2 linked regions of the Neodiprion lecontei genome follow. The protein of the gene in region 2 purifies or fractionates together with the protein of the main gene of each other region. This does not show direct contact. Links are inferred from orthologs where the notes say so. Each region holds a gene or a part of one and is shown on either strand. Other genes may lie near its edges. The genes, in order: protein FRA10AC1 and splicing factor ESS-2 homolog.

The links.
Region 1: the proteins of splicing factor ESS-2 homolog (region 2) and protein FRA10AC1 purify together in Homo sapiens (co-immunoprecipitation; 3 studies listed by BioGRID and IntAct, counting the BioPlex papers as one, with this or other methods). This does not show direct contact. The link is inferred for Neodiprion lecontei from reciprocal best matches to the Homo sapiens genes ESS2 and FRA10AC1.

What each region holds. Positions count from the first base shown.
Region 1 is NC_060262.1:20,624,473-20,629,011, reverse strand, and holds protein FRA10AC1, read left to right. Parts: upstream 1-1,870; 5' UTR 1,871-2,000; coding exon 2,001-2,107; intron 2,108-2,258; coding exon 2,259-2,430; intron 2,431-2,506; coding exon 2,507-2,666; intron 2,667-2,744; coding exon 2,745-3,043; 3' UTR 3,044-4,039; downstream 4,040-4,539. Other genes in the region: mpv17-like protein 2, read right to left, coding at 115-546, 627-785; cytosolic purine 5'-nucleotidase, read right to left, coding at 4,089-4,259, 4,340-4,459. UniProt on the Homo sapiens protein: May be involved in pre-mRNA splicing.
Region 2 is NC_060262.1:35,270,541-35,275,709, reverse strand, and holds splicing factor ESS-2 homolog, read left to right. Parts: upstream 1-1,957; 5' UTR 1,958-2,142; coding exon 2,143-3,296; intron 3,297-3,428; coding exon 3,429-3,729; 3' UTR 3,730-4,376; downstream 4,377-5,169. UniProt on the Homo sapiens protein: May be involved in pre-mRNA splicing.

The sequences.
Region 1 (4,539 bases), about 15 Mb from region 2:
CTTTCGTAGTACATGACATCGATTTGAATTCAATGGTATAATATTCTTGTCAATTTCTAACAGAATATCTTCAATTAACTAGGTAAGTAGTGATAAATCTAGCAAATGCCTGAGTTATTCAGATTTATCTTCAGCTACTGGTTTGTCGTGTTTAACCTGGCTGGTATACACGTCATAGCCAAGAGATATGGTATTATCGTATAGCACCCTGAACCTGGTGGGTAAGAAATAGAAATTAATGATTTGAGCAGGTGGCCAGACAATCCACTCTGCGAGATACAACTGATGGGCTTTGTCTCTGATTTCTTGCTTAAACTCTGTCCAGGTATTTCTCTCCAGTATACCCAATGTTACAAAAAACATTCCTATGCAAAGAGGAGAGCACACCATTTGGTCAACCAATACCTTCTTTAAGACAATGCCAATTGTTCTACCCGGCATTTTTCGATCTAGAAATCTGTACCAGTGATGGCACACTATGCCGACGGACATACCAGATATCGCCATGTGTCTTGTTCTTACAGGACTCCATTTTTCCCAGGTACCCTGAATGTAAGTATACTTATGTTTGTTAATATGTATTAGCTATGAGTTTTGAATTTATAAAAAATACGGAATTGCGTTACCTGAAGAATTTCGTAATGCTGTTCTAGAATGTCACCAACGCCGGAGAGAGATACGGAAATTGCGATATTGGTGTAAAATAAGTTTTTTGGTGAGAATATTTGTTCTTTCAGTTGATTGACCCGACTTCCAAGTTGGGTCACCCCACGAGCTATGCTCATTCTCTGAAATCAAAGGGTATTGATGGAGTTGTGTTGTGATGATTGGACTGTGAAACTTAGGTAATTGCGGGTATGAATCGATCGGATGACGTTAGTAACAAGTTTTCCTTTTAGTTTATCAATGCTTTTGCTACAGATAAGACGGCGGGCAAATATCAGTTAAAGTTAGGTTACTTGTATTCGATTATTAGCCTAAAAGTAATTTAACAATGTTTTTTGCTTCGTTGAAAGTGTTACATGTTATTACACTCACAGTATAATATACGTAATAATATCCTAGCCAGTTGTATTCGTCTTGAAACTAGTTATCCGAGTTCGTAGGGAATTGCGTCAAGGGTTGTAACATAGGATTTAAGGTTATCTGTAAGACTAGCGCGAGCATCGAAACAACAGTGATTCAGTACTTTGATCATTTTTACAACAACGGTGAATGCAACTTATGCCTATTATAACGAAATAAAGCGATCTTTTAAAACGTTAAAACTTCTACCGAGAGTAGCGGTTGATAGCAGAAAGCATCGGAGGCCACGTGCAAAGACCACGACCACTCGTGATGCGCAAACTACTCGTATCAAAACTATTCACATTTGGGGTGGAGTCTTGTAAATTTCAGAACTCTGTATTGGTTTATTAATTATCTTTGATATATAACTTTTTATTCTATGTTTTCAACTTCTATAGCAGTGAAAAATAATTCTAAACGTTTTCCTTTGGATATGAATCATAAAGGAACGAATTTGACTGCTTGAGCGCTTTATGTGTCAAGGGATCGCTACACTAGCTAATTTATTGCCTTTTGGCTGATTTCTTATACGGGTGATAAACAGTTAAGTATATTACTCAGTCTATCGAACTTTATTTTTTATAATTTTAACTAGCTATTGGGGTAAACAAAATTGAGAGTAAATAAATTTTAGTGGGCGGTATATAATTTGGCATTTCAATTTCAACAATGAATACAAAATGGCGATGATGGCTACACTTCTGCGTAACTGCAGAAATTGTAGAATCTGATTGGTTGTTATTTTAAACCAGCCAATCAATTTCTACGATTTCTACTCACACACTGCGTTATATTCATAGACTTATTCTACAGTAAACGTAACCAAGAATCCATCTGACAAGTGCAGAAAGACGAATTTGAGTGTCAGCCGCGTTTAGCGCGATTTTTTGCAAAATCGAGTAATTGAATGGAAAAACCGAAACGTTGATATAATGTTTCCTGCATATGCGAACCTCTCGGCATATGATCGTCACAAGAAGTTGATGAATGATTATTTTTTAACGAGAAAAGGTTCAGCCATAACCTTGAAACGGGACACGTAAGTGAGAATTACTTACTAGAAAAAAAAAAAAAAAACAAGGTTCGAAATGCATTCGAATAGATGGAATGATAGTTATCTGTTGACCAGAGACATGATGATAATAAAATAATCTTCCTGTTCATCATGACGTTTCGGCGTGTTTTTCGAGGTCGCGGGACAAAACAGACGCCGATGTTATTCGGGATCAGCACAGATTTTTATGGCACAGCGAAGATAACGACGTACCCGATTCGTGGGAAACTAGACTGGCAAAAAAATACTATGACAAATTGTTCAAGGAGTACTGCATATCCGATTTGACCCACTACAAAAAAAACAAGGTACCTCTTTCCGCTGATCCATTTTACTTTTGCTTTGTAATACGCCATTGCTTTATGTTCCACTTTTAAAACTCAGGTTGCTCTCCGATGGAGAACAGAGAACGAAGTTGTCATAGGCAAGGGTCAGTTTCAATGTGGAAACAAGAGATGTGTAGAAAAGAATGAGCTCAAAACTTGGGAAGTAAATTTCGGTTATGTCGAGCATGGAGAGAAGAAAAACGCGCTTGTCAAATTGAGTGAGTCTCCGACGTTTGTTTGTAAAAAACTTATGACCAGTTTCCTTGTTCAGTACATATAAATTTATTAATTTCCAGGACTTTGTCCAGAATGTTCTCTCAAGTTAAATCATCATAGTAGAAAGCGGGAGGTGAAAAGAAGAAGATCTTTAAAACGATTAGGAAAAACTGTTGACGTCCAAGAAGTTTTGGCGACGTCTACTACTATGGTAAGGGACGCAATTGAAGTTAAAGTTGAAAAGGAAGATCAAGCCGACGACAAAAAGGAAGAAAAAACCGTTAAGGAATCGCAAATTTGGAAGGACAAGCCCACAGATAGCAATGAAAAATCAAGGGAGGAAGAGTTCGAAGAGTATTTCGATGAACTGTTCATGTAAAATAGATTACACCGTAGTAAATAACGAAAATATACTCTCATTTCACAGAACAATTGTACTGTGTACTTATTACACTGTCTAATAAAAACGGATTTCATTTTACAGACTATCATAGACAGGAACGGTTGTTTTATGATCGATCAGTTTTTTGATTTCAACTAAAACGATATAGTTCATCTGGTGTGTTTCATCAGTAGCTATATTTAATTTCATGTCATGTCATTCCAGGATTTCAAAATTACTAGCCTGTCAGGAGTATAAGATAAATTTTATTTATAAAAAATTCATAACGTAGTAAATTCAATTTTTTTTAAATAGCGCTAGATTCTGTCTACCTGTATGCTTATACGTATGCAAACTTTGTAATTCTGGATTTTGTACGTATGTATAATTCAAATATCTGGTGAAAAAACTAAGCTACGTATCTCACTTTGAATTCCGACTTTTGTTACACTGTGCTTTCCAATTTCTTGACATTTTTTCCCTCCATTTTAAAATTGATTTGATTAGTAAAAACTACTTTATCAACATGCAAGCACCATTATTGCAGATTTCTTTTCCCCTACCTTCCAAGTTATTATATATTATGAAGATTACTATAGTATTGACTGAACGTAAATAAAAAATAATTTATTATAATTTCATATCATATACGGTAATATGTAACGATTACAATATTGTCAGATGATATACAACGTCTCTAGATATCTAAAAATTTGTTTAACATTTCTTCTTAATCTAAGTAAACGACTGGGCATATTGCCCTCTCAACTTGTTGAATTCACCCGTCGGCGTTGCTAGTCCTTTTTTGTTGCTTAACAATAATTATTATAACTAAATTTTTTTCGTCGTATACAATATCATGTATATTACATAAAGACCATCGGCAATATTTTAATTACACAACACGCCAACGTGTAGAATTATCAATTGTTTCTTTGCCTATAAACGGGCTAAAAGCTTCAAACAATTTGACCAGTGGTGAAAGCCAAAATTCGAGTAGTTTAAAAACTGAATAATCAATAGTCAACATCTAACGGCTTATCTAATTTACTTCTCTCAATGACAATTTACGTGCTTCGATATTGGCCTGCTTTTGCGAGTCGCTATCTTCGTCGCTACAATCTTCGTCGTGAGTATGTGTCACATTTCTAGGTGTTTCAGGCCTTGCATGTGGTATCTGACTCCCTGTATGATCGATGTCGACTAATCCCTGCTAAGAGGATACAACAAAGTTAGTTAATATTCTGTAATTAGCTATCACGGAAGTGCCTATATTTCCATGTGAAAACTTACGCTGAATACTTTTCCCTGATCTTCTTCCTCGTCTGTGAGCTTGAATGTGCGAGATCGACTGATCATTGGAGTTTCCATAACAAATCTCTGCTCATGTGCGACCGTACTTTCATGAGGCATCTAAATATGTGACAAAAACATGCATCGCGTTATGAATAATTATTTATGAAAACCGTTTATCGATCTGGAAACGCATCTTG
Region 2 (5,169 bases):
CCCCGATTAATTCGATTGAATTATTTTTCTTAAGCATGTGATCGTGAGTGCGAATCCTGCGGTTGGAATTTAAATTGCACCATTTTTTTTAAATTTTTTTTTATTTTTATAAGAAAAAAAATGAAACGATTCTAAAACGAAGTGAAATGTTTGAAATATCCGGCAAACAAATTAGCATCGATCGCCTTTTATCGAGTGCTGATAGTTTCATCGAATATGAAAATGAAGAATTAGAGCTAATATAAAAGTTGAATTTATTTTACAACGATCGAATTCGACGACTACTTTGAAGTAATGAAACGAAGAATTTGTCTAGAATTCTATTTCAGATAGCGAATATCTATAATTGTCAGCAAACAAGTTCTATAAGCTAGCTGCTGCATGAATAGCATGAAACGATTAATCGCGGCGGTAATGGGAGGAACGGGGGTCCATTCTCGATCATGCGGACGCGAATGGCGATATAAAGAGAAAAAGGCCGTAAGTAAAGTCAAGGGGCCGTCGTGTGTTCCCGGTGCTTGCCGAGTAAATGTAGAGTTAGTGACTTGCGGCGTTTGGCCGTTGTCGTCGGCACGGCTTTCCTATCTCGCTGCTGGAATCCCCATATGTCCGTCAGCGCGCCTCGCCAACACCTCGGAATCACTTGAGAGAGAGAGAGAGAGAGAGAGGAGCATCGGGATCTTCCGCACACTTTGATGCGAAGCTCCTATGCGTCCGCTCCTATTTGTGTGTCTTGTTCCTCTTGCGCTTGCCTCGGCCTTCCTCGTTTTCTCCTCTCTCGCCTGCCGCCACGGCTCGACCAAAATACCACTCGATCTTTGCGTACAGTGGCCAACGCAGGGGCGTCTTTTACAAATCGCGGGCTATGGCTGCACCACGTTATTTACCTGTACCCTCTTTTACCAGATTTCAAACGCCGTCGTTCCTCCCTCTGGAACTGAGGCGACGGCTTCGAAATATTTTTATCTTCCATTCCAGAAATTTATTGGCGCGTTTTAAACATGACGATATTTTGGAGTAAGTTCTGCTTGTTAGCGGATAACAAATATTACGCAATGATATAGGAGGAATATTGCACTCCACTGACTTTCTCGGTACTCGAATCGAACTCCGTACAAATCGGTCGCCACTGAGTTTTATCTCGAATAATTACACCTGCAAGTAAAAAATAATTATTCTAGGTTTTTAACAGGAAAGAATAGACGACATTAGTCCAACTCGAAAATTATAAACTGGTTGCACCGATAGGTGAAATATAAATTTGCCGCAAAGAAATCTATCAGTGAGTTTAGGGAATTTTTGGACAAAATTTTTGACGTTGCATGGCATTTCAATAAAGTTACTACACCCGTTTGTGTGATATAGCGAATGGCTTGATGTTTTAATTTATAGAAATAAATACCTGCATATCATCGTTCAAGCGAAAGTGCGCAAAGCGCGTTTGAAGCAGGTTGTACGATGGACTAATTATTATTTTTCGGTGCTAGCGAACACTGTTTCCGTTTCGCGAACGATGTACGAAAAGCAGCACAATATAATTGCAATACTAATTACCGTATTACAAATTGTTTGCGGGTAACTGACTTGTAAAAACTTACTCTCTAGCTTGTAACAAAATTGACTGAACTGTAAAAGAAGCTTAATTCAGATCGGAGGCAAGTCAGGAAGCTATGCAGTTTTTCATAATTCGGAAAGGTTCTACTATAGTTGAGAACGGTGACTAACTTGAAGTGCTTGAGATTCTTATTAATTATCATACATACTCTTCTATTCGAAGACCACTTGAAGTGAAACACCGAACGTTGAGATTCCACGTATTCATTTTTAATTTCACGTCTTTAGAAGAGTGATGGACACCGTTCAAAGTTCCCGCTGCAGGTTTCTTGACTCCACATTTCATCGAGGCTGCTGGGCTTGGCCGTGCCGTGGCGCCACTCTACGAATAAGTCAATCAGTGTCCACGACTCATGGCATCACCTGGAAAAGTGACAAAGTGTCATGGCGTCGAAACGAGTAAAAGTCGCGAACGTAACCTCACTTTGATTGTGTTTACATTAAATACTTGAAAAGTATAAGTTTCTGTTCAACGCAATCGAAGCTTGCTGTAGAATCGTGATAAATTTACGTTCGCCTGAGGGGCAAATGGGCTCGCCGATGGACACGCCTGGTTCACAGGCGCTCGAGGCAGCGAGAAACATAAAGGAGTTGGCAGTGTTTAAAAAGCCAATTGGGGTGGCGAAACGAAGAAAGGGCTGCAAGTCGACGATCCTCGATGAGGATACGTACATCGGTAAGATGGCCGAGATCATACAGAGGGACTTTTTCCCTGACCTTGAAAAGTTGCACGCTCAGAACGACTACCTCGACGCACTTGAGCACAACAACATAAAGAGGATGCGCGAGTTGTACGAGAAGTACAGTTCAGGACGACCCATCACGGAGCGGCCGGTGAGTCCTGCAACGTTTGAGACTCCTTTGCGGAACGGAAACACCGACGAGTCCGTCATGGAAATGCCAAAGTCTACGGAGATAGACGTACCTACTAACGACGCTGAGACGGAGGTGAAGATGGGTCTTGATGCTTACTTGACCTCTCATACAAGCGAGGACAACGCAAGTTTTGAGGAGATGATGGTAGAGTCGGAGAAGAAACACAGGCTTAAATACTCGTGGCTATATGAGGTTGAAGAAAAGTCTAAAGTCTTGGCCATTGAGAGGAACAAAAATGAGACGAGATGCATTGAGGGTAATTATGAAAAACCCAAGGAACTCGACGGCTGGAGTTACACGAACAAAAATTATATCATGTATGTGCCTGACGGCGTTGAATTGACTCCTGAAGAAAAGATCAATCTGGCTAAGAGGAAACAGGAAGTCATTCACGACAATACCAGACTTAGAATGAATCCTTTTAACGAACAACAGAATAAGGAAACGATCAACGAACTTGCCAAAACTCAATCAAAGGTTAAAGACGGCAAGATTGGAATCGATGGAAAAGAAGTAGTTCGTAATCCAACCCCGAGGGTCAATGGATTTAGCTTTGTTGCAACGCCAAGTCCTAGACCTGGAGAATGCGATAGCCCAATTATGACTTGGGGTCAAATAGAAGGGACGCCATTCAGGCTGGATGGAGGTGATACTCCGCTACTTAGAACCAGCCATGGGCCAGCATTCAGAATGGCTGAGCCTCCGAAAAGAGAAAAAATTGCATTACAACTGGCAGAGAAAGCTGGAGAGAGGCACAGAGACCGGAAAAGTAAAGCCTTGGAAGCTGCAAGAAGATCCTTGGCTAGGTATACAGTCTTAATAATTTTCATTCTTCTCATGCAGAACAGTTGATCCCTGTGTTTATTTATCAATTCTTGCACTATATAAAAAATTTCACACTAATCAGCCATTCTAATTCTTATATTTTTCAATTACAGTCCATCACCCAGACCTTTATCTGCGATGGATCGTTTGAGCACGATGTCACCAGCTGCGAGGAGATTAGCGACGCAAAAGTTGCGGCTTTCAGGAACCCCAACTCCTAGAAGATCTCGACAAACAAGAACTCCTTCTATAGGCGTAAGGACGCCACACACACCGATATTTGGCACACCTGGATCTAAGAGTCAAGATTCTGCGTTGGAAAAGACATCGACACTGCAGGGTCCTGTCCTTACCGATAATCTGCTTAATTTACCAACGCAAAGACAGAGAGCTGCTGATTTTTTCAATAAGTGAATCGATTTCATTCTAAATCTTGATAAATGCAGAGGTATGTGTATAAATTAAGCAAAAGCTGTATAAATTTAATTCAAAAGAATTCTACCACTGATATGTATTTCACGTCTGTTCCTTACTCCGTTCAATTGTTAAGTCGATGCTATGCAAATATTGTAATATATCTTAAGTTTTATAATGTCCACTGGTTACTTGTATTTACTCATTAGTTTGATAGGAGTATCCTGTGTTTATAAGTGTAAAATAGTTGAACGATATACTACTAGTTTTCGGCTAACTTCACTTGCGTGTTTCTATATTTCGCTGAATGGAAACACTGTTAATATTGTTCAAGTTTTGTAAATACGTACTTAAGATTAAGTTTTATGTAATAATTTTTTTGGGGAGATTTATTATATGCAATATTTATTATTGATTTGGTAATATTGACGAATGATTAACACTAATTTGCGATTCCATTAGAAATGAATTTACGAAAAGTCATTACGTCATTTTTTTCCGATGGTGTGAACGCAAAGGTAATATGCTGGTAGATACTCACGGATAAGCTCGATAAGCATTTTCACGAAAAATATTATTCACAACGTGCCGAAATTTAAAACAATCTGTGTCAGAGTGATGAATAAATGAAGTTCTTACCGACCATAGTATTGTCGACCTGTTTATTTTTTCCTATTTTTGAATAGAGATCCTTCTGTGAGACAATGTCCAGCCAATATCTATTGAATAAATAATTTGGTAAAATTTTAAAATGTTTGCTCGATATTAAAAACGTATATTCAAACGCAAAGTATTATGCAACAAATTTGATTTGATCTAGATCGACGAAATCTGCTAGTCCAGAGTCAAAGTAAAAATTACAACGCTCACATTAAAGTATTTGTGTATGTTATAAAAGAAAAAGGACAGACTGTGATTATTCTGGGCCCCTAGTTCTGTAATTTCATTGAGAGTGCATTAGAAAATGATATCTGCTATATCGCGACGAATGAAACCTACATTCGAGAACTTCACTGATCAAAAATTCCAGCAAAAAAAGGAGATCCGAGCTGAATCTCATAAATCGCCATGACAGTACATGAAGCTGTGCATTTTCATGTTTTTGCTCCCTCCTGAATTTGAGTGAATCAAAAGCCCGTCTAAGAAATAGTTCAATTCTATGACCAACGCAAGCTTGTTTGATACAATCGTACGTCAACTGATAAATCGTAAAATCTGGACGTGCCAGAAATATTTTCGGCTTCAATATTTGATTGCAGATTAAATTTTTATAAAAATATTCAAATAGTTTACCACATTGATTTGTTTATGATATTGTTATATGCTGTTGACATTAATTCGAATCGCTTCCACTATCCCGTTATACGGTTGAATTGTCATTGATATAAAACCATAAGTACCAATATTTCACTGACAACATATTTCAGGATATCGATCGGT